4 linked regions of the Tamandua tetradactyla genome follow. The protein of the gene in region 1 interacts with the protein of each later gene in a pairwise test. Links are inferred from orthologs where the notes say so. Each region holds a gene or a part of one and is shown on either strand. Other genes may lie near its edges. The genes, in order: REL, CGGBP1, CINP and GLYCTK.

Evidence for each region.
Region 2: the proteins of REL (region 1) and CGGBP1 interact in binary tests that used the Homo sapiens proteins (3 or more experiments, as listed by UniProt). The link is inferred for Tamandua tetradactyla from reciprocal best matches to the Homo sapiens genes REL and CGGBP1.
Region 3: the proteins of REL (region 1) and CINP interact in binary tests that used the Homo sapiens proteins (3 or more experiments, as listed by UniProt). The two-hybrid records come from large-scale screens. The link is inferred for Tamandua tetradactyla from reciprocal best matches to the Homo sapiens genes REL and CINP.
Region 4: the proteins of REL (region 1) and GLYCTK interact in binary tests that used the Homo sapiens proteins (3 or more experiments, as listed by UniProt). The two-hybrid records come from large-scale screens. The link is inferred for Tamandua tetradactyla from reciprocal best matches to the Homo sapiens genes REL and GLYCTK.

What each region holds. Positions count from the first base shown.
Region 1 is NC_135343.1:33,243,986-33,251,199, reverse strand, and holds the start of REL (proto-oncogene c-Rel), read right to left. Parts: upstream 3,001-7,214; 5' UTR 1-3,000. UniProt on the Homo sapiens protein: Proto-oncogene that may play a role in differentiation and lymphopoiesis.
Region 2 is NC_135336.1:58,633,242-58,640,881, reverse strand, and holds the start of CGGBP1 (CGG triplet repeat-binding protein 1), read right to left. Parts: upstream 3,018-7,640; 5' UTR 2,812-3,017; intron 2,699-2,811; exon of another isoform or gene 2,562-2,698; intron 2,556-2,561; exon of another isoform or gene 2,444-2,555; intron 2,228-2,443; 5' UTR 2,024-2,227; intron 88-2,023; 5' UTR 69-87; coding exon 1-68. Other genes in the region: ZNF654 (zinc finger protein 654), read left to right, coding at 3,384-3,572. UniProt on the Homo sapiens protein: Binds to nonmethylated 5'-d(CGG)(n)-3' trinucleotide repeats in the FMR1 promoter. May play a role in regulating FMR1 promoter.
Region 3 is NC_135338.1:63,945,599-63,952,432, reverse strand, and holds the start of CINP (cyclin-dependent kinase 2-interacting protein), read left to right. Parts: upstream 1-3,820; 5' UTR 3,821-3,882; coding exon 3,883-3,931; intron 3,932-4,299; exon of another isoform or gene 4,300-4,488; intron 4,489-4,500; exon of another isoform or gene 4,501-4,586; coding exon of another isoform or gene 4,587-4,605; intron 4,606-5,247; exon of another isoform or gene 5,248-5,299; coding exon of another isoform or gene 5,300-5,333; intron 5,334-6,834. UniProt on the Homo sapiens protein: Component of the DNA replication complex, which interacts with two kinases, CDK2 and CDC7, thereby providing a functional and physical link between CDK2 and CDC7 during firing of the origins of replication.
Region 4 is NC_135341.1:33,580,777-33,588,281, reverse strand, and holds the start of GLYCTK (glycerate kinase), read left to right. Parts: upstream 1-4,502; 5' UTR 4,503-4,722; intron 4,723-4,761; exon of another isoform or gene 4,762-5,163; intron 5,164-5,169; exon of another isoform or gene 5,170-5,195; coding exon of another isoform or gene 5,196-5,311; intron 5,312-5,317; exon of another isoform or gene 5,318-6,697; intron 6,698-6,708; exon of another isoform or gene 6,709-7,150; intron 7,151-7,226; 5' UTR 7,227-7,265; coding exon 7,266-7,505.

The sequences.
Region 1 (7,214 bases):
AGTACTCAGTTAAATATGTATTTCAGATAGATAACAGATAAATATTTAGTATAAGTATGTCTCATAAAATATTTGGGACATAGTTATACTAAGAAATTATTTGCTGTTTATCTGAAATTTAACTTTATCTGTATTTTATCTGACAACCCTATTCCTGATCCCTAATAGCTTGATTTCTTACATAAATGTAAAATTCAGACACGGCTTAGATGAGAACTCAAGAAAGTAGGAAGATATGATAAAAGTCACGTGTCTACAAACATAACCATTTGCAGAGAACACAGATGAAAGTTAGAACAAAAGGAAAATCTGAGTCCTTTAAGTTCTATTAGAGAAAGACACCACCCTAGATGTTCCTAATTATGATTCATCTTATTCCTCCCCAGTTATTTCATTCACTCTTTCCCTCCACTCTGTCTATCATATATCACCTTAATTCTTTTATATCATTTATCTCTACCCTTCCACATGTTGCATTTCTGAAACAATATTTATGTTTACATAGACAGTTTTTTACTTAAAAAAACAATAATTTGCTTTAGCTATCCATTCTTAACTTCCAGCTCTAGCATTAAAAATAAGTTGAATCATATCTACAACCCAAGAGGAAAAAAAAGTTGCCTTGAAATTCATACTATAATCAAAGAGTTGGTAAAGTAGTACAGTTTACAGAAACAATTTCTTTGTGTAGTTCTTTCATTATGTGACATAGCAAAACTTTACTAAGGAAATTTTTTAATAAAAAAATTATCTAAATTTTAAAACATGTTTTATTAAAGATGGTGCTAGTTATTAGTAAACAGAGCCACAAGCCACACAAAGACAATTTGCTTCTTTTACTGGAACAATGAAAAGTTTTGAATTCACACATAAAATAGCTAATTTTACTTGTATTCAATAGAAAAAGAATGATAAATACAAAAAAAGTAATAATTGTCTAATATACATATCTTAGACAGTTTTAGGAACATTTTTCTTCACAATGCTATTCTAATTGTGTCCACAGACTGGAATCAAGGCTTTGTGGCTGTTTTGCTTTTTTTCAAAGCATTGAAAAACAGTTACTAGAGACAGAGCTGAAACCCTGAATAATTAACCTGATGACTGATCTGAACAAAATTCAGAATCACATACACTACCAAAGTCCCAGTTACTCTATCTTCCTCATGACACTCAACTAATTTTGCTTATGAGATTATGATCTATGGTACTTTTACATTATACAGAGCATATATTTCAATTACAAAAATTTGTTTACATATGACATCCGGTAAGGCCTAGCAGTTTTCAAAACACTGGATTACATTTTTAAACAACTTGCAAAATTTTAAATAATCCCATTTTAATGCAACTCTTGAAAAAAAGCAAAAAAAAGAAGAAAATCACCCTTCAACTTTCAAATTCCTCCCTGCCCCTCCAATTTAGGTAATTCTTAGTCCTCATAAAAGCAGATATAGTATCATTAAAAAGATATAGTATCATTAAAAAGCACACTTTTAAATCATGTGGTCTTATAATACTCTATATAAAAATGGCCAATTCTTTTCTCTTTTGAAAGAATTAGAAGTATTACAATACATTCATGCAATAAATTAATAAAGTTTGATTAAAACGACAGCCGCCTGACATTCTTTACTTGCAACGATCACCATTCTTTACTACTTTCATACAAAATCTCTTTTTTGATAACCAATAAATTAGCCAAACACTTAAAGTTATCTTTGTACTTTCAGTCTAAATGTGCTTTGAATTTATGAACTTAGAAGAATATCTGAAAGTTGGGGTCACTGAAGTGGGTAAAGGGAAAGTTGAAATATTTTAAACTATACTTGTATTCTCACATGAAAACCACAAAGACAAATTGAAATCAAATGTCATGTGAAACACCCCTATTTCCTTTTCAGCCTACCGTAGTATTTAAGCATTGTTCAGTTCAACCCTTTTACAAGGTCCCTTATACTTTCTACTTCCTCTTCTCTAGGAGACATCAGCCTTCTACTGAGGGTCACTGAAACAAAGTTGGGAGAATCGGAGGGGGGGAGGGTGTCGAGCATAAACAAGCCCCCTCCTCTCCAGCCTCCCAGTACAGTATTAACTGTAGTTTTAGGCTTCCCAGCGTCTTCTCAGGTGCTCCCTCGGCCTGGAAAGCGACCCTGCCCCCATCCACCGGACCAAAATCTTGGCAAAGGTCCAATTCTAACGCGGTCTACTTAATCTATCCCCTAGATTATTCGGCAGACTTGTAGATTTGAGACTCCCTTCCTTGTCCGTAAACTGTTTCCTACTAAACTCATTTCCTCCGAAACAAGAGTTTCAAACATTTACTAACTGGAAATAAACATTTACATAAGTGATATAAAGTTGTTTTTACTCCTATCCATATCATGGAAGCACAAGTACTATAAAAATCCTCTTTTCCCCTTACTTTCAATAAAGGGCGGGGGGGGGGGCAACTCGGTAAACTAAAAGCCTACTTTATTTCACAGTAAAAATCATCCCCACGTTGTTGAAGCAACATCTCCACTTAGGACAAATACCACTGACAAGTTTTAAAGCCTCGCCGCATATTGTACAACTGTCAGCACAACTGGGTTCACCTCTCGACATCTGAAATTTATTCCCGGCTCTGAAGGTTCCTCATTCCTGTTCTAAAATCTAACACTACCATTTCAGTACAAATCAGTTTTTAATGCCAGCACGACGCGTCCTCCTTGATTTAGGGTCTTCCTTCCCTAATTCTGAAATCAAGCCGTTAGGAATTTCTAAGGTTCCGGCTATTATAATAGTATCAAATTACAGAGCGTGGCTTTGATTTTGCACGCAAACCCTGCACCAGGAAACTTTTTTAAACGCTTGACAATCTGCCAGGTAAGGCGATTTTTTTTAAAGACAGAATGAGCTACAACCCAAACTCAGGAAACCAAGAGGCTCCCGCACCCTCCACCTCATTAAGCCCCCACCGTCAGAGGAGGAAGACCCCCCGGCCGAGCTCCTTCCCCTGAGCCCTTGCCCCGACATCCCGGCCCGGCCTCGCGCCACGGCCCTCGGTCCCCCTTGCCTGAAACACTCACCCGAAGCCATGGCTCCGCTCACCGCGCCTACCCGCAGGCAACCCCAAGCGTCCGGGCAGGAGGCCGCCGAAGCCAATCAGCCCGTCAGTCAGTCAGGCGACCGCGGAACCTCTGCCGGCGGGACCCCCAGTTCGCCGGACCACCCCCGGACCCTCCTCTTCTTCCCGCCCTCCCTTGAGTTTGCGGCTCACACCTTCCCACCCCCTTGATTCTCGCGCTCCGGGTCACCCAGCGTCGCCGGTCCTGGGTGCGGGAGCCAGGGGCAGGGGGCGGAGCGCGATGAGAGCCGAGAACCAGCCGGGCCGAGGAGGCGGACAGCAGGGCGGGAGGGGGATTTCCCGCGGCTGACGTCGGCCCCTCGCCACCGCCTTCCCCCGGGAGCCGGGGGCAGGGCGTTCCCGCGGCGAGCGCGCGCTCCGCCCCGCCCCTGCCACCCGCGCCCGCTCCCCGCCCCCGCGCGTGCGTCCTCCTTCTGCAGCGGGCTCGGGACTTGCGTCGCGGGAGCCCCGGATCCCGGAATGCAGAATCTTTGGGAGCGCAGGGAACGACGGGAGCCAGGAGGTGACGGTCTCGAGCGTGCGGAAGCCGCGGGCTCCGGAGAAATCCCCCTCCTCCAGATTGTTCTCCTCTGCCTGGTTTAAAGTTCAGGAGCGGGTGGGACGAGGCGGTGACGTCGAGAGGGCCGGCCGCCGGGGAGCCCTTCGGGGCGGGGCGGGCGGCGAAGTGGGGCCGGCCCACCTGAGCTGGGCGGAGGACGGTCCGGGGTTTTTGATAGGTGGTTCCCCCTCTTCCCGATTTCGCACATGCAAATCGCTGCCCCCGCGCCGGCGGGCGTCCGGGTGCGCGCAGTAGCGCAAGTGCGGAAGCGGCCGTCGCCTGTGTGCAGTATTTGTAATTCACGTATTTGCATACGGAGACCCTCACCTTCTGATTCTGCCCGTTATCTTTAAAATGCGCGGGCTCTGTTAACTTTACGTATTTTACCTACTAAAACTTTTTAAACGCGAAAGATGCGCACTGAGAATTCGTGCCATGGGTGACATGAATTGCCTCATCGTTACGCAGTGTGTTCAGGTTCAGTGAGGTAAGTGCAATGAAGTGTCACAATATCCTGGGATTTCACCGATACCCACGAGGAATGGGAGAATGGAAGAACATTTAGACTGTTATCTAATATAATTTTGTTTCCTTCACTTGTGTCAGATGCTTTACTTACCTCACCTGTGAATATTTTATTACCCTCATTTTTTATATGAGGTCATCGGAATGCAGAGAAGATACGTGAAGTTGCCCAAATGTCAGAATGCTGTTAAAAGGAAAAATAGAATTTAAACCCAAAGCTCCAGACTTTTTCCACAACCCTTTACTTCCTCAAATAAGAATAGAGAGAGAATAGGGAACATCAGCCTGCCACACAAGAGCCTTCAATTGGAGAACCCTGTTGGGGACAGAACTAAAAATAAAATCTGCCGATTCCAAAAATACCATCTTCACAAAATGTAGACAATAATGAAACAATTTTATTGAATAGGCGTTAACTCATTCTGTGATACACATCACAGGCAACATCACAGACAAACATCTAAAGAGATTATAAAAGCAAAATGAAGGAATTCATCCTTTTGTAGAGCCAGGCAGATAGCAATCCTTGCAGACCTCCTAATTTTCTTTATCCAAAGGAAAATTTAATTAAAGTTAAAAGTTTATTACTCTAAAGCTGATAGGCAGCTAGATGTTGGGGATTGTAGAGAATATATATGTGTGTGTGTGTGCTTGAGGGCTTACAGTTCTGGATACTGTTCATTCAGTTCAACAAATATCTGCTCTGTGCCAGGTGCACTTCTCGGTTGTAGCACGTACACTAGTAAACACGTGAAGTAAAATCTCTGGCTTCATGTAGCTTATGTCCTACATAAAAGACAACACGCATGTAAGAATGTAAGATCATTTCAAATACTGTTGTTAAAATATTTTACTTTATTGTTATAAAGGAAGTGGGGCAATGAGGTAGAAGATGACAGTAAGAGGGATGCACCGAGGAGGTTATGTTTGAGCTCAGTCCTCAGTGGTATAAAAGGCAGCCACAGAAAGGTTTCAGGGAAAGAACATTACAGATAGAAGAACAGCAAATGTCAAGTTCTTGAGAGAGGAAAGAGCTTATCTGAGGGACTGAAAAAAGGGCCAATAGGACATGAACAAAATGAAAGGTTGGAGTGGTAAGCAGGGCTAGATCATGTACCGCTTTGTAGACCATCATAAGGAGGTTGCATTATATCCCAGTTGCACACAAAAAGCTGCTGGAGAGTTTTAAGCACATCATTAATTTATAGTGACATTTTGTGCTGTTTATTTTTGCTGATGTATTAAACTGTTAGGATACATTAAATAGGGGCAAGAGTAAAGGGAGAGTAATTAGGAAGCTGTTGCAACAGTTTAAGTCAGAAGTGAAGTATGTGGACCAGTGTTTTAGCAGAGAAGATAATGAAGAGAGGCATTTTACAAAGTGAGATAGCCAAGTGGCTAATCATATAAAAGATGGCCTGCATCATTTGTCATCCAGGAAATGTACATAAAAAATGCATATTCCCAACAGAAGTAAGTGCATTACCATTAGATGAACAATAATTTTTAAGGCATGTTTATTCATAGTAACCAAAGATTGGAAGCAACCCAAATATTCATCAGCATTAGAATGGATCGATAAGCTGCCTATATTCATGCCATGGAATTCTCCCCTATAATAAAAAAAGAACATCCTATTGCTACACAAGAAAATGAATGAGTCTCACAAACATAAGAAATGGAAAATCCATACATAATAAATGGACAATTCATACATAAAACAGTACATCTATATGAATTCATTCAGTATGTTCTGTTCAATGTATTTGTAGTTGAAAACAGATGAAATGAAATTATGGTGATAGAGGTCAGAATATAGGTCCGTGGGGGTGGATATTGACTAGAAGTGGACCTGAGGAAACCTGTATTACTGGGAATGTTCTATATCTTGATCTGCTTGGTGGGTTACACATATTTAAAAATTCATTGAGCTCATGCTAGGACTTGTGCCCTTATGTATTTATACTGCAATTAAAAAAAAGTTGTAAGAGATTTTTGAATGTCTTTCCCCATCAAGACCATACACCCTGCACAGCCTCACCTTGAAGACTCTGCTCACCACCCACTCTTCTTCACCTCCTAAAACACACACTTTTTACTTAGTCCATCCCTCCCCATCCTTCAAGACTTGGCATATAGAAAGCCTTTCTAGATTCCCCTGAGAAATCGACTGCCCCTTCTCTGTGCAAAATAACAACCAGCAAATATTTATCATTTTGTTTACCACACTGAATTACAGTTACTTAGTTGTGTACCTGGATCCCACACTAAACTATAAAATCTCAAAAGTAGGGACTCACTTATTCCCAGTGGCAGCCACTCAGTAAATATCTGTTGAATAAATTATCCTTTGTTCCTCAGGCCTGCTTGGCTTATTGAATAGCCCACTCTGGTGAGCCTTTGGTGCCTGATACTTTGGTTCACTCCTTTGAGCCTATGGAAAACCAGAAAGTTTGATTTTATTCTGAAACTTTGTTATAACTGTAACTACTTTGTTCTGTAACTACTTGTTGAAGAGTGCTTTGAAGATTATTGCTTTTTTCTTTCTTTGCTCTGTATATGTGGTATATTATACAGTAAAAGTTTAAAAACAAAAAACTCAAGAACCAAGGTAATAGAAGAGGGCTAGGAAACAATGGATAGTGTCAGGTGAGATTAGGGAAATACTTGGAGATGGCAGGGGAAGCCCCAGGTTAATTATGGGTTACCAAGGAATCCACATTAGATGGCAGGGTGGACAGGAAATGGCAGAAAGGAAATGGCATGTCACCCTGCCAGGTGAACATCAGGACTCAGGGGGCCACAATTTAGTGATTAAAATGAAAACCCAACATCCTATCTAGATGGCATCTGTTTTTCACCACTAGGTGAGAACAAGCACAACCCTGGAGTTGGATCGGAGACCTTTCTTTTGAGCAGAGTATATAGTTCTTCTGTTAGGTGTGGTGTACTCCTTTCCCAGGTGAAAGCTGCTTGTGAAGGAGGACTGCTTAGTGATCAAGGAGATTCAGCAAAATAAGA
Region 2 (7,640 bases), on another chromosome or scaffold:
GGAGTCACATACAAAGCAGTCTTAGAACGGTTTCGAGCAGGTGGTGCTGTTACTACAAATCGTTCCATTCTGACTTTGAATAAGGCTCTTTGAAGACAAAAGAAACAAAGACAAGTATTACTATGACAGTTAATTCCAGAAGTAATTAACAATGTGAGGCAGGTATAAAAAGCTAAGATTAAAGACTTCAAACAAATTAAATCAGCAGAATGTGTGTCCATTAAGTCATAAATTAACTGGAAAATTTAAGGGAAGGCAAAACCAGAACAAGTTACTAAAATAACAACTAGGTCCATTCCTTAATTTTCATGTAATTCAAGTAAATTAGAACAATGAAACAAGAACTCAAATTATCCCAGATATTGCTATCTTTTGGGAAAACCTAATCAAAAGCCAACATTTGGGGTATTAATTATGTTAATCTTATCCAATTTGATATGCATTCAAGTTTGAAAGAGTTTCTGTCCCTTCACAATTCTGGGACAAATGAGGTTAAGAACAAAATTGTAGGGAATTGTGTACAAAGTACATTCAAACAGGTGGGCCACTAAACTGGTATAATTCTCTATGAAAATGAAGAGAATTTCTAAATTGTTCTGAGAACAACAACAACAAAAAAACTAAGAAAGAACAAAGAGCAAATACAATTAACAGCAGCAACAGCGGCATTAAATTTTCAAGTCAACAAATAGAGTCAAAGTAAGTTATTTTTTAAGGCATGTATACTTTCCTAACTTTTCCAAAAGGTGATATTTAAGATATACGAAGTGCTTTTCCTCTAACACTTTTTTACTTCTTTCTTTCATTAAAGACTAATAATTACACTTGTTAACATTTATTTCACTTACTAACCAGTAAGTACAAAATTGAGAACTCAACATAGTGCCCAGCATATGAAAATGCTCAATCAAAACTTGCTCATATAAGTATATGAACATCTTCAAATTTGTCCGAATATCTAACTCAGTAGCATCTTGATAAATTTCTCAATTTGTCCTAACAACAAACTTTTATAACTGGACTAAGTGCCAAAATAATATTGTTAGGGCACTGAAAACTTGAGATAATAAATACATGTCAGTTAATGACAAATGGTCAAATCAGTATTGGTAAGTCTTTGTTTTCTCTGGCGCCATGCTTTTAGGCTAAGTGATAAACATTTAAGATAAACTATATTTAAGAAATGAAAATTAATTTGAAGGAATTCAAGATAAATTCTATTCTGTATAAATATGTTAGAGAAAACTTCTAAAGTGTGCTCAAAGAACTACGCTTTGTAAGTTTAATCAGAAACAACAGAGTATTCCATAAACCCATATTAGAAAATTAATAGCTGGATAACATGAAAGTTGAATATTCACACAGATACCTCAGATTTAATCATACTTCTTTCTTTCATTAAAAAAAATTTTATGTCATTCTCACGTGCCAATCCTGTGTTAGGCCAAGGGTTTACAATGGTAGTAAGACATCTATTACTCTTGCCCAGAATTAAGTGAATTATCAACTATCATTACATGTTTGTACTTTAAAGGTATGTGTTTTATACTCCTATGGCATTAAGTCCCAATAATGAATAATTAATGATTCTAAACTAGTTATGAAAAACATTAAATATTTGTCTAGTAATACCTAAACCTTCCTTTCTATCTGAAAGTTCTTCTGTCTTTAAATATTTGAATTTCAAACTTTAAAACAATAAACAAGTACATAATTCTCTGAAGCGTAAAATGCTCAATCACTTGTACTAAGGTGAAAGACCTATGCTCTAATGTCTTGTAACTTTCAAAAGGTCTGTACCACTGCAGAGACAATAAACCGACCCAACAGACGCTGAGGTTTACAGCTCCAAAGAACAAAAATATTTTCAATAAAGATTTTTTAAAAAACAAACGAAGTTAAAAAGTTGAGAGCAGGATTTATATAGCAAAAGAGAAGGAGAAATCATTTACTGGATTAAATAAAAAGAAAGAAAAAAAGAAATAAAACACTCATTTCACGTTTCCAAGTTTAAACGTTTTACCGGATTAGTTTCCAGTTTTTTCGTATTGACACTTAGTAGTGAAGGATCTCCAGCGCAAAACCAGAGTCGCCTGAAATCCTGGCACTTTCTGATTGTTCAAACTCGGAGATGCCTCCAAATCAGTTTTTCAACAAGTGGTGGTGGGGAAATAGTTTCTGGGCTTGCACCCTATTTTCCCTGCGATGCCGGAAAGTCATGCCTTTACTGTAAAACAGGAAAATCAAATGGAAAGAAAAAAAATGGGGGTAGGATGAGAAAGAAAAGATGAACAAGTATGTCAACAACAGCCACCCGGCAGGTGTCTCAAAAATCGCTCTCTTAAGGTAACTCCATATCACAAACCCATATCTCAAAGCTTAACTCACTATCCCCACCCCATCTCCTCCTGTCCCTTTCTCAGTTGTCTGTCCCCTTCTGCACCTCCTCGCGCTTCCCAGGGCCCAAGGTTCGGGGGGCGGGGAGCGAAAGGCGAGGCGCGGCACGTTCCCGGGCGTCTGAACTCCCTCTTTCCGCGCCGAGCCCAGCACGCGAGCCCTACATTGCCCAGGCTCCGCTAGCTGGGCAGGGCCGGGTCCCTGGGCCCGCGAAGTCGGCAGCGGAGTTGGCGGCTCTCAAGGGAGGAGGTTGCAGGCTCCGGGCGGAGGCGGCCGCTGACAGGCTTCCGTCTCCTCCCTCTTCCTCCCGCCGACAACCGCGCCACGGCCCCGCCCCCGACTCCCGTTTCAGGACGGAAGGCCCCTGGCCCACAGCCTGCACCAACGGCCGGGCCCACCCTCAATCTCCCCCACCTCCTCGGTACCGTAGGATCTGGGTCGCCGCTAGGGGAAGTGGACGAGACCAAGCCGAAAAAGAAAGGAGGAAGAAAAGGACAAGAGCGTGAAGGAGGAAGAAATCCAGTCGCCGTCGCCGCCGTCGTCGCCGTTCCTCGGTCCAGCCCCGCGGCGGCCGCCGTATCCCCTACCGCGCCCCGTCCTCCTGCACCGCCTATGGCAGAGCCGAGTAGGCGGTCCCCAGCAACCGCCGAGCAGTATTGACCAACGGACAGTGAACCTATCAAACAGACGGCTGGTTTGACCAATGGCCATAGGAGGGCGGGCATAAACATGACTGGCGGCTAAAATAGCCCAATGACAACTGGGGGCGTGGGTGGGCGGAGCCGGAAGTAGAGCCCAGCCGAGAGGCCCCTGTCCGGCTGAGGCGGAGAGAAGGGGGAGGAACTAGAAGAGGAGGAGGGGGAGGAGGGAGAGGAGGAGGAGGAGGAGGAGGAGGAGGAGGAGGTTAGTCAAGGCAGCTACGGCGGCGGCGGCGGCGGCGGCGGCGGCGGCGCAGGGGTTGGTACGCGCTGGGCAGCGAGAGCCTCATGGCGGAGGAAGAGAGCGACCAAGAGGCCGAACGCCTCGGAGAGGAGCTCGTGGCCATTGTGGAGTCTCCGCCTAGCCCTGTGGGGCTTAAAGCTGCGGGCGACGGCGGAGGCGGCGCTGGCGGCGGCGGTGACGGCGGCTGCGGCGGCGGGATCAGCAGTCGGGATTACTGCCGACGCTTCTGTCAGGTGAGGCGTCCTCCAGCCGCCCTGTCTGGTCACCCCCAGTTCTGGGCCTCCTTGCGTCTTCGGGACTTCGTGTCCCCAGGGTGGGCCGTGTCGGGTGCTTGCTTTTCCACCCCAACATGAGGGTGAGGGTGAAGCTCACCCTCCACCTAGCGGGCTTGGAGTGGGGGGTGGGGGTGACCCGCAGGTTTAGAGTTGCTGAGAAAGTGAGGGTTTGTCGGAGGTTAGGGACGGGTGGGAGGGTCAGCTGGCAGGAAAGGTCCGTACTGACAAGCCTTCCTTACCACCGAACAGACCTTTCCTGCCCGAGGGTCCCGCCTTTCTTGTGTTTCTTACCCTGTTTGTCTCACCTTCTTTTGAATCCTAGTAAAATTTCCTGTCTCCCCTTCTCCGCCCCTTGCCCCCCATTCTCTTTTTCGGGAATGGGAGGCATGCCATCGCTCTACCGCCCCCTCTCCTGTCATCGCCTCCCCTCCCCCTCTATTAGGGTCTCCTGTCATTCTGTCTCAATTTCCCGCTGGGCCACTTTGACTCCAGTTGGCTTTAGCGCTGACCCACAGTAGTTTAGTTACTTTTTTGGGGGTGGAGGAAAGTGTTGAGGCAGTGTAATTGCCATCTTTTATTTTCTTACCCATTTCCCCAACACACACACACTTTCTCTTTTAATTAACTGTTCTTAGAGGAAAGTCGTTTTTCTTAAGTTGCTGCTCGGAACACAATTCCACCTCCCTTTATCCTTTAAATTACAGTGTATTTCATGTAGCTTGTGAAATATAATGTCCAAACACTGTCAGCAAATTATTTCCTTTACTTAGTCGACTGCCTCTACGATTTGTTATGGTTTAAAGTGTTTGAATAATGCATTATAGCTGTACCAGAGTGCTTGTCTGGAGGCAAAATTTGTGTAAACTGCATACATATCTATTTACATTTATAGTTTAAATGTTTTGTTTTCATACACAACCCTCTTTTGCAAACATGTGGGAAAAATTTTTAAACACGGCTTTTCATCCTCTCATCCCTTCCACCTCTGCTTTTTATATTTATTATCTTGGATGCACCGTGGTCAAAATCCTGGTTCCACCACTTCCTAACTGTGTGATCTCGATCATTTTAATTAACCTTGCTGTGACTGAGTTTCTTCTCTGTCAAATAGGGATAATAGTTAAATGAGTGAATATGCATAGGGTTTGCATCAGTTGGCTGTTCATTTCATTCTGGTAATAAGTAGGAATTAAAGTTAATAAGAAGTGAACATTTTACTGGCATTTGATTTTATGCCCTTCCAAGCATTGAAAGAAAAAGCATGGAGTTGCCAGTTTCAGGTAAGTTTTTAATGCTTTAATTTGTCTCGATTTAATTTTTTTTCCAGTGTCAAAGAAAAGTTGGTTTGAAGGTGGAAATTGTTTTGATCTGGAAGGAGTGCCAGTTTTCATTGGCATTGCCATGTATTTAGTGACTTTCTTGAAAATATATTTATTTTTGGTATATGGCATTTGCTAGATATAGAGGTTCAGTGTCTTTAGAACACTTGTTTGCTAACTATATGTTTCATTTCTAAAAACTATACTATCGGTAGGCTCAGTATCTACAGGAAATTTAAACTGAGGATTGGGTTACAATTGATCTTTTTAATATATTGATTGATAGAAAGTATTTTTTCTTTTTTCTTTATTTTGATTTATATATCGTTAATGACCAAATTGTTTTTGGTTGCATCTAGCCTTGTTCATTTATTGATCAGATAGTACTTAATTGAGGTAGAATTTGAGATTTTATTTGAGGACTAGAAAATTTTGCAGAACTTTTAACTATTCTTATTGTTTCTTAAAATCAGTTTTTAAGAGCAAATGAAACTGATAATGTATACATTTCCATACTCCTAATATACAAGGATATGAAAGCAAGAAGCACTTTAAAAACTTCTATTTTATGTCACCTAATTATGGGTGTTGTATTAACATACTTTCATGCTACCAATTTTTACCTGAAACCTCATTACAAATTTTATAATATTCTAGTTTACCAATACATTTATTCTTAGGTTCCTGTCCTGGTACCACCTTGCAAGCAGATTTTGTGAACTCCTTTTTTGTCTTAAAGCTTTTAGTTGGAATAAAAAATCACTTGCATTAAGTGGAGTTTTACTCACTGATTATCAAAATTCTATTACAGTGATTCTCAGTGTTATTTGCCAATAAGGGGAGCAGTGGATTATATAATATAATTTCCAGTCAAAGAGTTTAATTTTAAGATTTGTTTTCCTAATATTTACTGAAGGTAATATGAAGTAACTTGCATTCATTAGTAAAAATGACTTTAATTGTGAGTAATCCATAAAGTACATAATATGCACTTGGGTAGGTGACTGTTAACTAAATGTATGAATTATACGCACAGTCTTGTGGAGTTGAGATGAATGGCTCAAATTTATTTTCCTCCTTTTGTGAGGGAAATATGAATCAAAATTTCTTGGCAGTTAGGTAGGTAGGTGAAGGGAAAGAGGAAGAAGCACATCTTTTCAAGAGAGCTTCTAATGTCTTTTACCACAAAGAAAAGTAAAACAGAAGACAATAAATAAGTGATATAGTGTGCATGTGTTTGATGATATACTTTTCTATTTGAGAAATATTACCAGTAATTATAAAATTTCAGGCTAACAGAATAAGATTTCAGCTGGTTTTTGAAAGATGGATTTGGAACATTGAAGTGCTGCTGTCCAAAAGTTACATAGTGTCAATAATGTTGGGCTAGTTGTCCCTAACACATTCTTCCTTGACTTTTATTAGCAGTCTCAACCATCCTTAGTAGAATTGGCCCTTAATTGATATTTAATTTTGCTTCCAGGAGGAAAGGAACGGGGAAATAACTTTTATTGAAGGCCTACCAACTCTTAGGGTCATTTAATCCATGAAGCAAAACCTTGAGGTATATTTTATTATGCATATTAAATAGTTGAAGTTGAAAAGTAATCCAGCTAATTTCTGGTAGGTGGATGATTAAGTTTGAACCTGGCTTTCAGTTTCTACTGAAAGGCATACTAAAATTACAATAAATCCTCAAACATAAATCAGATTTTTCTTTGGCCTAATTATGGGGAAAATTAGGAGAAGCTGGTGAATGGGAAACAAAGTTGCTGGAAATTGTCAAGGAATCATGGATGAAAAAGTTTAAAAAGTACTCTTTCATTATGCCTCAGAAAAAAAATATTATTGTCTTTTCGACCTGTTAGTGAACGTTTCTGCAGTTCCTGAAAGCTGGAATAATTCAACTTATTTTACCACTAAATATATTTAATTTTTTTATATAATAAATTGATTGCAATCTTGGTGAGTTTCTTCTTAGTTTAGCACGAGAAGGAATTTAGTGAGTGATAAATAAGTATTTGTGGAAACACTTGATATCTTAATTGAAATAGAACTTTAAATTATTTCTTATTGCAGTGGGTTAAATTACCATTCCAAGAGGATATTATGAGTATAAAATTAGAGAATGAATATAAAGTACTAGTACTGTACTTAGCACATAGAAAGGGGCATAAATAGTAGAAGTTATTTCTGTTTCTACTATGAGAAATATTCTCAGGGTTTAAGAGGAAAATTAGAGATAATTTAATCTATAAATTGCTTAGAGTTTGTATCCTAACTTTAGAGAAAATTTAGAATGTTCAACAATTCTAAATTTCTGTTAATTTGCTAGAAAAGCCTCATGTTCCTGGTGAAGCACTAAATGATTTGGAAAACAACTACGTTATCTCTGTGCCAGGAGTTCTCAACTGGAGGAGATTTTTTCACTGTAGGGGACACTTGGCAATATCTGGAGGCATTTTCAATGCTGATACCTAATTGGTAAAGGCCAGGGATGCTACAGAGCATGTTATAATCCATAGGACATCACCCACAACAAATTGTCATGGTCCAAAATCAGTAGTGCCAAAGTTGAGAGATCCTACTATGCTCTTAAAAATGGCAAAAAATTATTTAATAATCCTGAAATAATTTTAAAACAATTATTGCATACTAAACACTATAATAGGTGCCTAAGAAGCAATAAACAGCAATATGTTTTATA
Region 3 (6,834 bases), on another chromosome or scaffold:
TTCTTATATTGAAAGTGAACAAGACTGAGAGGGGTTGCAAAGACCTATGTGTTTCACTTATTAATACTACAAATATTTATAAATAAATAAGTTCTTGCATAAACTACTTCAAAGGTATGATTCTTGTACAAACAGTATTCAAGTTCAGGGCACAGGGGGAAAAGTGCTATTACATGCTATGGGTTATGTTTAAAAGGAAAACATCAGCAGTACCACAGCAATACCAGGGGTAAATAATGGGGGGAGGGACAAGAATTAAGGGGAGGTTTAGATTTCCTATTTGGTGAGGGTGTGTTTATTTGGTATCTTTCTCTTGAGAATAATGAAATTATCTAAAATTGAAAGTGTTGATGGACTGTGGACTTTGGGCATTATACGTGATGCCTAATGAATGTAGTGGCTGAAGGATGCACTGAGAAGTATGATGGTGTATACATATGAATGAATATTGTGCTGCCACAAAAAAGAGTGAAGTTTTGAGGCGGGCAACATTGTGAATGAACCTGTGCGACACTAGGCGAGGCAAAATAAAGCAGAAGCAAAAGAGCAATTATTGTATGGTATCCTTTAGAAAATGCTTATAAAAAAAATAGAGGACTAGATTGTAAGCTCTTATAGCAGTCACATTTAGTCCAAAGTGGTAATTATTATTTCCGGATTTTGAGAAGCTGTTTTACATATGTATAACCTGGTATTTAGAGATAAGAACAAAGCCAATCAGGTTGGGATTAAGGTGATTCAGAACACAGGGGTAAGGAAGACACTGATTCTATTTTAGAACCTCACCTACTCTTTGGGACCAAAGGAAGAAAGATTTATTTTGTCCAGAATCTAAATTTTTCTGTGTCACATAATCCAACTCAACCTATGTGGACAGCTCATTTAAACTACTGAAATACAGGAAGCCCAGAAAAAGAATGAAGGGGGCGGGCCGCGGTGGCTCAGCGGGCAAGAGTGCTTGCCTGCCATGCCGGAGGACCCCGGTTCGATTCCCGGCCCCAGCCCATGTAAAAAACAAACAAACAAACAAAATATAATAAAACAAGAAAATGTTTAAAGATGTTTCCCTTTCTTCCTCCCTTCCTTCCTTCCATCCTTCCTTCCTTCTCTGTCTTTAAAAAAAAAAAAAAAAAAAAAAAAAAAGAATGAAGGGCTTTAATCCTGTATATCTTAATATCATGCCTGGATATATCCTAGAATATATCAAACAGATAATCAAAAAGTATTAGTAAAGTCTCTTGAGGGATAAGAGAAAAAATATGGAACAATTACACTTTACCACTGGGGAATCCCTGATACTGTGTCAAATATTAGGGACACCCAAATCAATAGGCCAAGACCTTGATCTTGAGGCTTACTCTTGTAAAGCTTATGTAGGTAGCAGAGAAGCTTAGCCTACCTATAGGTATGCCTAAGAAGACCTCTTTTGTTGCTCAGATGTGGCCTCACTCTAAGCCCAACTCTGCAAGTGAAATCATTGCCTTCCCCACTACGTGGGACATGACTTCCAGGGGTGAATGCCTCCCTGGAGGCGTGAGAAAGATTCCTAAGTATGAGCCTGGCCCTGGCACCATGGTATCAACAATGCCAGCCTAACGAAAAGGGGGAAAAGAAGTGTAACAAATAAGGTTTCAGTGGCTAAGAGACCTCAAATAAAGTCAAGAGGTTACTCTGGAGGTCACTATTATGCAAACTTCAGTGAGACATTGCTACCTATCATAACTTGCCAAACCCCAATCAAAACCATTCCTGCCAATCCTAAAGAACACCTAGGGTATTATATAAGATTCTACAAAGGTTCTATGCGCTAGGGTAACTTTCCAGAAACCTACAACCTCCAATGGGTCCCTGGACCAGATAAGTGCTGAAACCTAGAGGGGTCAGCCCCTCCAGAACATCAGCTTATTCCATCTCCCTACCCCATATTACTGACAGCCTCTTTCAACATGAAAAAGTTAGAACGGCCATAGCCCAAATACCCCTAAACAGTGGGACAGAAAGATCAAAGGAGATGGTGGATTATCCAGAGAAGGTATGGTTTAACCAATGAGTTTGACTGCTGAATCATTAAACTGGTATTTCTTTTAGTCTCCAGTACCTCAGAGCAGTTGGAAGTAAAAATCTAAAATTGTGGAACTGAAACCCATCCCAAACTCTGAAATTTGTTGTACAACTAATTGTTGCACTGTGCTTTGAAATTTATTGTTTTTGTACATATGCCTTTTTGACACACACACACATGCAAGTTGATTGTGATGATAAAAAAAATATTTATTCCTTCTAGCCTCCAATGTTCTGGAGTAGCTAGAAGGAAAAATCTGAGATGATGGAATAGTAGCCCATGACAACCTCTGGGATCTGTTCTGTAACTACTTGCTGAAGAGTGCTTTGAAAACTATTGCTTTTTCTTTCTTTGCTTTGTATATATGTTATATTATACAATTTAAAAAGTTAAAAAAAAATCAATTCTTACTTTAAATAGCTCAATTCACAAAATCGATTAATTACTCCCTCTTGAATTCAAGTTTCCTGTGCATCACTCTGACTAGAAATCCTTCCTTGCTTGACACAAAAGCTTATTTTCATTCATCATCAGTTTCCTGATCCGGTTCTTACTTTTCCAAGTTCAGTTAACTGCTCTGCCCGATATGTTTCCTTCCTTCTTTTCCACTAAGTTCCAGTAGACATTCTGTAGAAACTATATACAGAGTAGAGGCTAATATGAAATCAGACCCTCCTCAAACTTGAAGTATAACTTCAGGAAACCAAATCTAGTAGGAGCCAGTTTCTATTAAAAGATAATGTGGCTACAAAATAACTTAAACCTAACAAAAGCTATTTATCTGTCATACCTTCAGAAGCAGCTACTTTTTAGGCCATCTTCCCCACCTCTCTGCCCAGCCATTTTTGAGAACTCAGGTAGCACATGCCCTAGACTTGGACCTGCTAGTACTCTGGTTTGAAAGCTCAGAGGTTATACTGCTCCCAGAGGGCAGGTCTCTGTTTGGTTCACAACAGCATCTCTTGAGACTGGCCCCAGGGCCTGTCACACAATGGATCCCAAACAACTAATTTCTGAATTAATGCTCAGAAGGGGATGTAAGTTGGTTACCAAAAGAAGCAAGGTGGGAGGCTCAGCAAGGTGCACCATAGCTGGGTACCAGAAAGCACAAAAAGCCTTGCATAAGTGGGCAAGTGACACTCCCTCCCTAAGCTTCAGTTTCATCATCAGTAAAATGGAGATGACAGTCCTTTCTATCTCTAGTCACAAGGGACGACAGTGGCTTTATTCGATTCTGCCAATGCCTGGGATTTGGGCTTGAGGACTTCCCATAACTGGCTGCAAGAAAGCAGTCAACCCCATGTGCAACTGACCACTCAGTAGATGAGGCAAGGGTGCACCGGGTAGGTACCCCACATTCTGCTAAGAAATGGGACAGAACAGCAATACAAAATAAAATTTCGGACTCTTGCTGAGAAAGAGAGGAAGGACAAAGGCCAGGGAAAAGAAGTGCAAGTGGAGAAGGAGAAACTAATGAGTAGTCAGAAAATACATTAAAAAAAAAAAAAGTAGGGAGGCAAGCGAAGGAGGACAGGAGAGCCCAGATGTGGGTTCCAACATGGGGCTGGCTATCATTTATTGAAAAGCAGCGCCTGCCAGGTCCCCTGCCTAGCATTTTACAGTTAAACATTCATTTAATCTCCCACCAGCCCAGAGGTAGAAACTATTCTCCCCGTTCTAGTGACGACGAACCTAAAGCTCAGTGTGTTGATGCCGCGTGCCCGCAGAACACAGAAGCAGAGCTCCGCCCTGAGCCACGGTATGACTCCGGGGTACCCCATTCTATAACCCTCGCTACCTAGTTCAACTCTCAGGACAAAATGCCGAGTGAGAGAGGCGGGAGTTATCCTCGGAACGAGCACCTACTGGGTACATGTCAAGGCCTAATGCCAGGCGCGGGTGGGCAGAGGTAGGCAGGCGGCAGCGAGGGTCCGGAGGACAGAAGTACCGTCACCCACAAGCCACAGGCGCCCGGCGCCCCGAGCCTGCCGCGCAGAAGGGGCGCGAGGGTGGGGCAGAGAGGGGCGGAAATGGGCTGAGCACCGGCAGACGCGGCGAACGAGGCGGGGGCCTGAGGACCAGCTTGGGACCCGCGGGCTTGGCGCCAGGCAGCTAGCGCCGCACTCGGGTGCTATAGCCTCTGGTCCTCCGTCTGCGCGTGCGGGTGAGACTGGTAACGGAGACCCCGGGGGGCTAGGCGAGGGAAGGGTGGCCCGGGAAGGCGTAAGCGGCAGCACCTGGAGGCGAGGAAAGAGCGCGCGGCCAGGCGTTGGGGCCGCCAGCGGCGTCGCCAGACTCACCTCCCACAGTAGCCCCTCGGTACTCGTCGGCCCGGCCTAGCCGGAGGAGGCGGGGACAGATCCGGGCCGCGGGGGCTGCCGGGAGCCCGTTCCCAGGGCAACACAGCCCGCACAGCCCCGCGGCAGCTGGCTGGCTAGAAAGGCAGAGCCACCAGCAGAGGCGGGTTGGGAAGAGCGGAAGTGACGTTGCGGATTTCTGGGGACCAGCTTTCGGTCTTCTCGGGATGTCCGCGGGAATGGAAGGTAAGTGAGACGCGCGTGTTTCCCGCGGCGGGGAGGCTCCGGGTGTTAGGGCCGGGGCCGGGGGCTAGAACCGAGGCTGGGAAGCTCCCTTCGGGTTAAAAGGGGCTCGTGCTCAGTCTGCGAGGACTCAGTTTTTTTGTATAGTGACAGTCAAACGCGATGTATACGAAGGGCGAGCATGGTTCTTAATACTTAAATCGTTATTATCCTCGTTATGATTTAGTGTCGGCAAAGCACATTGGGTGCTGAGCCTTCCCTGCCTAGCTCCTCCTGAAATCCCCGAACTCCCCTCAGAATTCCTGCCACAGATTTTTCTGCTAGTAATGAAGACTGGCACCCAGCGAGTGTTCTAAGGGCGTAAATCCGCTCTCTTGAGCCTCACTTAAGCCCCTGAACTACAGGTGGGACGGGCTGTTAACCATTATGCTGTGCCTCACTCCGCTCGTTACTATGACTGATTACTTGTCTCCGTTTCCTTACTAGCCCATAAGTGTCTTAAATTCAAGAACCATGCTTTGTTTTCAACTCCTGAATATGTGCTGGGTTTGAGCAGACAGAGGATGAATAAGATGAGCACCCCCACGTATGACACCAGAAGGAAAGATAGAGGATAAAGACTGAGTCAGTATAACCTAGCGATGCCTAGACTGGACAGTGATGGTGATTAAATGTACAAATATAAAAACGCTTTTACATGAGAGGGAACAAATGGATGTCAACATTGCAAGGTGTTGAAATTGGGATGTATACAGGAAAAAAATATTGTCAATGCAAATTAGGGTCTATATTTAACAGTAACATTGTAATATGCTTTCATGGAATGTAATTGCCCAAACTAGATGTCAGTAAGTGGGGGGGGGGGGGGGCATGGGGAGGGGTATGGGGTTTTCTGTGTAAGAAAAGGAAATGTCCGGATTGTCATGGCAAAGGCATATTTACTTAGGTTGTATTGTATGATGTGCGACTAAAACTGTTTAAAATGAACAGAGATAGAAGTGCTGGAGAAAATGTGGAGAGCATGAGGTACCTAGTCCCTGTTGGTAGGGAAGCCGAGGGGCTGGACAGTGTAGTGACTCCACAGGAGGCTAAGGGAGGGGTTGCCGTATGATCCTACAACCCGTTACTAGGTCTGTACTTGGAGGTACTGAGAGTTGGGGCAGAAATGGACAGTTGCCTACTGGTGTTTATGGCAGCAGTGTTCTCAATTTACAATGGATGGAGGTGGCCTAAGGGTACGTCTACTGGAATGGAAGGGGAACTGTGGTGTATACACACAAGGGACTATTGAGCCGATGCAAGAAGTAATGAAGTTCTGAGGCATACAACTAGGATCTTGAGGACATATACTGAACGAAATGTCAGAAACAAAACGACAAATATTATCACGCCTCACTCATATGGACTAACTAGAATATACAGACTTTGAGAATAGAAGACGAGAGTATGAGTTGTCAGGTTGGGGCCTGTTTTAAAGGTTCCTAGATTGTAAGCTCTTATAGCAGTCACATCTATTCCAGAGTAATAACTGTTATTACTAAATTCTAAGATTCTGAACTATCTGTGTATAACCTGGTCATTCCCTAGAACTTCAGGTATTTGTGTAGCAACTGAGACTCAGAGCCCTGAAACTATGAAAGTTAGCATTCCTCCATACAGCAATTTTTTAAAAAGTTAAAAATGTGAAGAGACTTCAACTAGAGATATAAATGAAGCTGATCTGGATAGGACTAAGGTAAACCAGAAGACAGGGTAAAGAATGATATGGTCTGTATTTTAAAACCTCAAAGCGTGTGTGAGACCAAAGGAAGAGATGTTTGTTTTGTGCAAAATTTATATTTTTGGTAGCCCACTATCTAGTTTAACTTGTGTGGTCAGTTAATTTGAGCACCATAATTATACAGAATCTTAAATAGGGAGTGAGATCTTGTTGGTTGGTACAGGTCAGTGTGATGCTCCAATACATCCCAGAGTAATTTGGGAAAGCAATAAAAAAGTATTTGCTCAGTCCCCTGGAAGGGGAGAAAAGTAGAAATGTTAAACTTCCCCACCTCGGGCAGACAATAGAAAAGTATTTACTAAGCCCCCTTGGGAAGAAAGGTAGAAAGGTTAAACTTCCCCACCTAGGGAATTCCTGATATTCTTGCAAGTAGTGGGGACAACCTGTTTAATAGGCCAAGCCCTTGATCTTGGGGCTTGCCCCTTTGTAACTTATTCCTGCAAAGGAGAAGC
Region 4 (7,505 bases), on another chromosome or scaffold:
TCTTCATTCTCTTGCTTTGTGGCATTAATCAGTGCACCGGACTCTCCTTGGTTTTGTAAAAAGTAAAAAAAAAAAAAAAAAAAAAAAAAATAGAGTTATTATGGCTAAGAGATTTAAAATGGAGTTAGACATCCAGGAGTGGAGGTCTCCCTGACAATGTGGGACGTGACTCCCAGGGATGAGCCTGGCCCTGGTACCATGGGATTGACAATGCCTTCCTGACCCAAAGGAGGAAAAGAAATGTAACACAATAAGTATCAATAGCTAAGAGAGTTCAAATAGAGTCCAGAGGCTATTCTGGAGGCTACTCTTACTCAACCTTCACCTAGATACTGCTAATTACCACAGTTTGCTAAACCCCAACCAACATCATTCCTGTTAACCCTAAAGAACACTTAGGGCTCTATCTGAGAGTTTACAAATGTTTCACATACTAAGTTGACTTTCCAGAAACCTACAACCTCCAGATGGGTTCCTAGGCCAGATAAGTCCTGAAACCCAGAGGGGCCAGCCTCTCCAAGAACATCAACTAATTCTATCCCCCATCCCATATTATCTACACCCCTTTTCAACATGAAAAAGTTAGAATGGGCAGAGCCCAAATACCCCTAAAGATTGGGAGAAGGATCAAAGGAGAAGGAGGAGTTATAAAAGAGAAGATAGTATTTAACCAGTGAGTATGACTGCTGAATCATATTGATATTTCTTTTAGTCTCTAGTGTCTGGGAGCAGCTAGAAGGAAAAACCTAAAACTATGGAACCATAACCCATACCAAACTCTGAAATCTGTTCTATAACTACTTGTTACAATGTACTTTGAAATTTATTGCTTTTTTGTATATATGTTGTATTTCACAATAAAGAATGTTTAAAAAGAAAATGGAGTCAGAGTTCATTCTGGAGATTACTCTAAGGCAAATACCAACCAAATAACATACACTGCCAAAGTATTCAAAGCCTCAAGCAACAACGTTCCTCAAGCCCCAAAGAGGTCCATCTATAAAACAAACCACAAAATAAGTAACTCAGTTAACTATCGAACCTGATGGATTACTGGAATACCCCCAAATAGCCACCAACCACAAACAATTTAAACTTTTTCTTTAAACACCCTTGCCTGGAAATTCCAAGAGGGACAGGATCCTGGTTGCTACCTAAATCTGTGCTCCCCCAAATTGCTATTCTAAAATTCCCAAATAAATGCCTTTGTTGCCTTGCAGCTTAGTTTGTTATTTCTCAGTTGACAGTTTGTAGATAAAGAGCAAAGTGTTCTTTATCTCTGCCACGTTGTTCTGTACTTCATTAAACAGTATGCTGGGATCAATGCTGTGTGTATTCCAAGACCTGTTGATACGTCTGGAAAGATGAATGCCGATGAGAACAAATACTTCATGGATGACCTCATAGCAACAAAAGTAGATCAAGCTTCTAAGCTATAGAAGGAATTTTTGAAACTATGTGTCAAGAGGATAAAGTGAGTTTATCAACCGGGATAGGCCAGGTTATGGTGCAATAACACAAACTCGCATATTTTAGGGACTTAAAACATCAAAGGCTTATTTCCCACTTTTGCTATATTCACATAATAGGTTGGAAGGGTGGGTGTTATCATCACGTCACTCAGGGTCTCAGGTTGAGGGAGATGCCACCAACTTGAATGTTGATAATTGCCAGGTTCAAGGGGAAAAATGCTCAGGATGGTCTCAAATGGGCAATTAAATACCCAGAAATGACTCACACCACTTCCACTCACAACTCATTGGTCAGGACTAGTCACATCATCCCCCTCAACCACAAGAGGGTCAAGAAGTACAATCCTGCTGTTACCAGAGCACACGGTAGATTCTTGCCTGTGCGCTCAAATGACCAGTTCCAGAGACACCAGGGTTTCAAAGAGTGAAAAAGTTTATTGCTAGGCACGTAGCAGGAAATCAGATGGCCCGTCAGCCCAAAAATCTGTCTCTCCCAACTGCAGTAATCCTGATAGTTCTATAGTATTAAAAGATTGACAGGTTTTAGGATAATGAGCTTGATGGCCCCAGATGATTTAACTAGAGGTGATCTGATTATTGAGCATGTGCAGATTGATTACATGCTTATTCACAAGACATATGTGAGAAAATGGCAGTCAATATGACGGATGTGATTTTTAGTATTATAATGAGGTATAGGTGACTTGTAGGTTAAAGTCTAACTGCTACACACGTCAGGTAGGCCCATTTTGGTTAGATCTAGTTTTGGTTATCAAGATAATTTTGGACTTGGGATGGGTTAGTTCTGGGCTGACCCAGGACCCTTCATAAACATTAGGGGCTGTCTTTAGTGATCACACACTCCAAAGTCGAAAAACTGGATAAATGGGTACAAGTGAAGGTTAGTCACAAGGTTTTTACAATCACAAGGGCACAAGATAAAGGCTTTACAATCATTATTAAAGGTCAAGGCAGCTGGATTACAATTCAAAGATTTCAGGTATTTCCCTCTTTCTACTCTAATATACTGGAAAGTAAAAGAAGCATCTATACAATAATTCAGTAATCAAAAGCATCCCTCAAATCCCAATTTCTCGGTTACCCTACTACACGCCTGGAAAGGGGGTGAACTGAACTTACTTGATGAACAGCACTGTTGATCACCACACTGAATGAAATTCCCTGGTTTGGTGTTCAAGGACATCAGGATGGATATAACTATGTCAGCTCTGCTATGGTGATGAAGCGAACTAACACCTTGTACCTCTCCAGGCACCTAAAACCTCAAATGGCTATCACCCGCAATCTGCTTCCGTAATAAGCAGTATTTGTTTACAGGGAAGTTCCAGGCTGGGAAGTCCAAAATTAAGTACTATTCTCCCAAATTTGCATTCATCACTACTTCTGATGTCCACCCCTTGAGCTTGGACAGGGCAGATTTGAGAGTTTCAGAGGCCAAGTATTTGACCCATGGTGAGTTTCAGAGATTCAGCATTGTTAGTTGAGTTGGGTACCACTATTCCCACCTTCCCCAGGTCACTGACTGCTCAGCATCATCCAAGAACAACCTCTCCCTATGCTTTAAAATGGACCATTTAAATGAAAACATAATCTAAACAGACACATTCAGTAACCCTCCTTTGTAGGCTATATGAATAGCATACCCCACCTCCATTGCCTTCTTTCCATCTGCTTGCTTTTATAATGGGGAAAGCTTATATTCTACATAAACTTTGAGTCATAAAATAGCATCTCAAAAACTAAAATAATTTATATGCAGTCTTAATATATTAGGGATGACATTATTTTAATATGTTTAGAAGTACTATAATTTATTTGTATAAATTATCTTATCAATGGATATTTAGATTGTTTTATAGTCGTCAAATTTCTGGGCTGAATATTAGCTCTTCATTTCTATCTTTGTGTACGTGCCTTATTATTTCTTTGGAGTGAAATTGCCTGATATTGACACTTACTGCTAAATTACACTTTTTATAAAAGACTGTAGACTATTCATATCCACTATCAAGATATGTGTAAGCATTCTGATAAGTCTAATAGTTTTCTCAGACCTAAATTCCACTCCTTCATGAAGCTTTCTGATTCTACCCAGCACCATTTCTCTTCATTTTGTAGAATTGTTCCTACCCAGGGTCTGCAGCACTTTGCAGCCAAGCACTTCACTATTCCCCTATTCATTCATTTAAAAAAAAAAAAAGCCAACTTCTATTTGTGCCTGGTCCTATGCAGACGAACAGAAATGTAAATACAAATTAAACCATGTCACCACTTTCCAGGAGCTCACAAGTCTAGCGGGTATCTTAACCCTTGCTGTTGTTAAAGCCATCTTGTGAGTAGCTGCAGGGGTAGGGGCTTTAAAAAAATAGGTACAATTAGTTTCCTACTTACACTTTGATGGAATAGCACTGGCAAAGTAAATGGTGTTTGTTTTATGAGTGCTTCTGGCACTAAATGAAAGAGGTGTTCAAATTTACACTCCCAATGGGGGAAAGTAATCACAAAAGCAGAGTGAATTTCCCAAGTAATAATATCCCAGTATTTGGCATTTAACCTACACAGAGGCACTCAGGAAATGTCTGTTGAATGATGGGAGGAATGAATAAATGGATGAAGACAGCTTACTATAAGTAAGAAAAAGCTATGAATTTTTAAGTATTTATAATCTCCCCCATTTCTAAAGAGACCAGGTCCTTCTGAAGGCACCTTGTTCTGCTGATGGGTGGGCAAGCAATGAGGAGAGACTGGTAGAAAATAAAATATCCTTTATTATAAAGGCAAAGAAAAACGCAACTGGGAGAGCTGGGAAGGGCAGGAGGCTGGGTGAGGGGGGAGAGTAGTTCATGACAAGACATGGTCTGGAGAACAACGGAAAAATGCTGCAGCTGCCAGATGGAGCAGGGTGGAGAGAAACATTTCAATAAGAGTTTCAGAAATCTGCAGTATCATGTGTGACGTAACCCCAAATTCCATCTTCCCGATAACACGTCAGTTAAATAGAGACAGTACTCTTCTGTGCCTTGGAGTCTGGTCGGGACTTGCCTTTTGAATATGGGAAGACATCAAGCCCGGCTCAGTGCGTAGACTGAGAGCACAGATGGCGAGACCAGGGACATTCGCAGTCACGAAACATGTAGTAATTTGAGGATCACGGAACAGAACTCTTGTTGAGCCAGAACTGTATTTGGTGGCACTTTAGGGGGAACCAGCGAGTTGTGGGATTGTCACGGTGAGGAAGGGCCAATAGGGGTAGGGCCACGACTTAATCCAGCCCCGGAAGGGGTTGGTTCCAGAGAGGGAGTGATCGTCAACCCGCTTGCTCAGCCCAGTGCCTTGCATCTAACAGGGCTCGGCATGTCTTTACCTTCTGATTGGATCCTATAGGATAAAGGACGGACGGACCACACCAATCCGGTCAGGCGGGGATTGTTAGTCCCATTGTAGAGATGAAGAAAGTGAGGCTTCTAGGCCTCTAGGCAGCACCCCACGTAGTCACGACTACCCTGACCGAGACCCAAGAGTTCCAACAGCTTCCCGAGCACAGCCTAGCTGGCACCCGGCACCTCCCCCTCACTTCCGGATTCCGCTACCCGCAAGTACTTCCGGCCTCCAGCGCGGGAAGCTGCTGGGCTGTGAGTCTGCGCAGTGAGGGTTCTCGTGGTCCCCGGAAGTGAGTCCTGGGGTTGGGTGACGGGGCTCTGAATGGCAGAGGTCTCTTACCTCCTGTCACCACCCGACGTCCCGCGGGAGCCATTTTCTTGGCAGGCCAGAAGCCCGAGCTGGAGGGTGACGTCACCTCTGGGGCCCGAGACAGGCAGGTGAAAGCCGGAAATGGCTCCATCCTACTTGGTGGCGAAGTCGAGGCTTTCTTATGATTTCCGGCCCTCGCACTGTATGGGCCCGAAGTTTAAGGACGTCTTGTAGGGTTCTTAAATTTAGCAAATATAAATACACGATGTCCAGTTAAATTTGAATTTAAAAAAATCGAGGAATTTTTCAGTATAAGTATATCTCATACCTATCCTACAACGATTCGTTGTTCATTTGAAATTCAAATTTAACTGGACGTCCTGTATTCTGTCTGGCAACTCTAGCCTTGAATGCCTCCCTGCTCTAGGCTCTGGCATCCAGTAGCAAGGCTGGGGTCCTCTAGATCTTTGGGAACAAATTACAGAATTTGCCTACATGCTCAAAACCAAGTATTGCTAGATGCTAAGATGCTTTAGCCCCTTTCCAATTGGGTGAGGCTAGGTGTTCCTCTAGCAAAAGCTGGACACCATTTTAAGAGTCCCCCGTGCCAGGACTCTCTGTATTCCCTTTTGGAATAGAAATCCAGTAGGGCTGGTCTTCTTTTGCTGATGGGAAAGCTAAGAACTATGCAGGCTAAATTGCACAGGGCTAGAAGTTGCCAGGCTATTTGTGTGTGAGGTAAACTGGCCTTTGGGGTCCAGGTTTCCAGTGTTACAGTGAACACTGTTAGAAGCTCTAGGGTGTCAGGGGAAGAGCATTAGTTTTAGTTTCAACCTAACTTATTTTGCAGATAAGACCTAATAAGAGATATGGAGCTTTCCTAGCCATTCAGAAAACCTATAGTAAAGCTAGAACCCCAATTCCCAGCTTCCTTCCCCTGCTCAATCCATGCTTGCTGATAAAATTAGCTTGCAGCATTTACCATAGGCTTTTACTAAAGTATATGCCTTTGGGGCTTTGTTGTCTGGAAACCCCTCACCATCTCCTGACTGTCACCCCAGGGCATTTCTAGCTTTTGTGTTGTCTAATGGGGAAGATGACTGTTTGGGCCCAGCTGTGAAATCCTGGCTTGCCTGCTCCAGCTGCTGGACTCTCATCACTATGGAAGATGTGACCCAGGACTTGTTTTATAATCTTGCAGCCAACGCGGGGGTTCTTGGCAGAAGTGGGTCTGGCTAGTTATGTGGGTGGAAGAGCATCCTTTCCTGTCTTAGCTCCCCAATACATGGCTTCATGTCGTGCCTGGGAACTTCCATAAGGTTCCACCCTGAACCAGATTTGGCTGCCATTTATGGTTTGAACCTGAATTCTAGCTAGACTGGCCAGAGCTTTGGGATTTTTAAGGCTGCATGTCCTGAGGATTTGCTCTGGGCCTGTTCTGGTAGTACCCTGGTGAGCCTGAAGCCTCTCCACACAGACACAGCTTTCCCAGGCTCTCCATCCCATTTCTTGAGGTAATGAAATAGAGAAGGCTGGAAGTCACTGGACTCAGGGTTAGTCGGTGGGACAACCAACAATCTCCTGGCGGAAGAGGTGGTAAAGAGGCAAGGAAGGAGTGCCAGGAAGAGGCGTTGCCTCTGGGTGAGGGCTCAGAAGTGCAGGAGGTGGAAAAGGGGTAGGGAGGAGCCTACTGATAGGGATTGCTCCCTCTGTGGATTATTAACTCCCAGCCAGAGGGGGTGACGTAGGAGAGGGCTCAGCTAACAGAAACTTTGGACTCAGTGCAAAGTGTCCAGAGGCCTGGCATGTGGTCTGCAGAAGAGGAAGACAAGGTTGGGTGGCAGGGCTGGGCTCTGACTGGAGTAAGACCAGGCAGCTGCTGGCCTTAGGAAGTCTCCTTGGGCTAGCGAATGGCCCATGCCTTCAACAGCAGCTGTGGGGTCTCCCAGCCCTGAAACTTCAGACGGGTAATTGTAAGGTAGGGGTGGGGGTTTCCTGTTTTTGGCCTTGCAGTGGCCCTTACTGGTGCTTTCTTCTCCCTAGGCAGCCATGGGTGCCAGGCAGTGCTGAGAACAGCAAGGCATGGCGGCAGCCCTACAGGTTGTGTCCCGCCTGGCCAGACCCCCCTTGTGCCCGCTACCCTGGGGAGGCTCTGTGGTCCGGCTGGCCAGTCGCATGGCCCTGGCAGAGCATGCACGGAAACTGTTTGAGAGTGCTGTGAGTGCTGTGCTGCCGGGCCCCATGCTGCATCGGGTCCTTGCCTTGGACCCTAGCAGCGGACATCTGAAGGTGCGGGACCGGAGCTTCCAACTGCGACAAAAC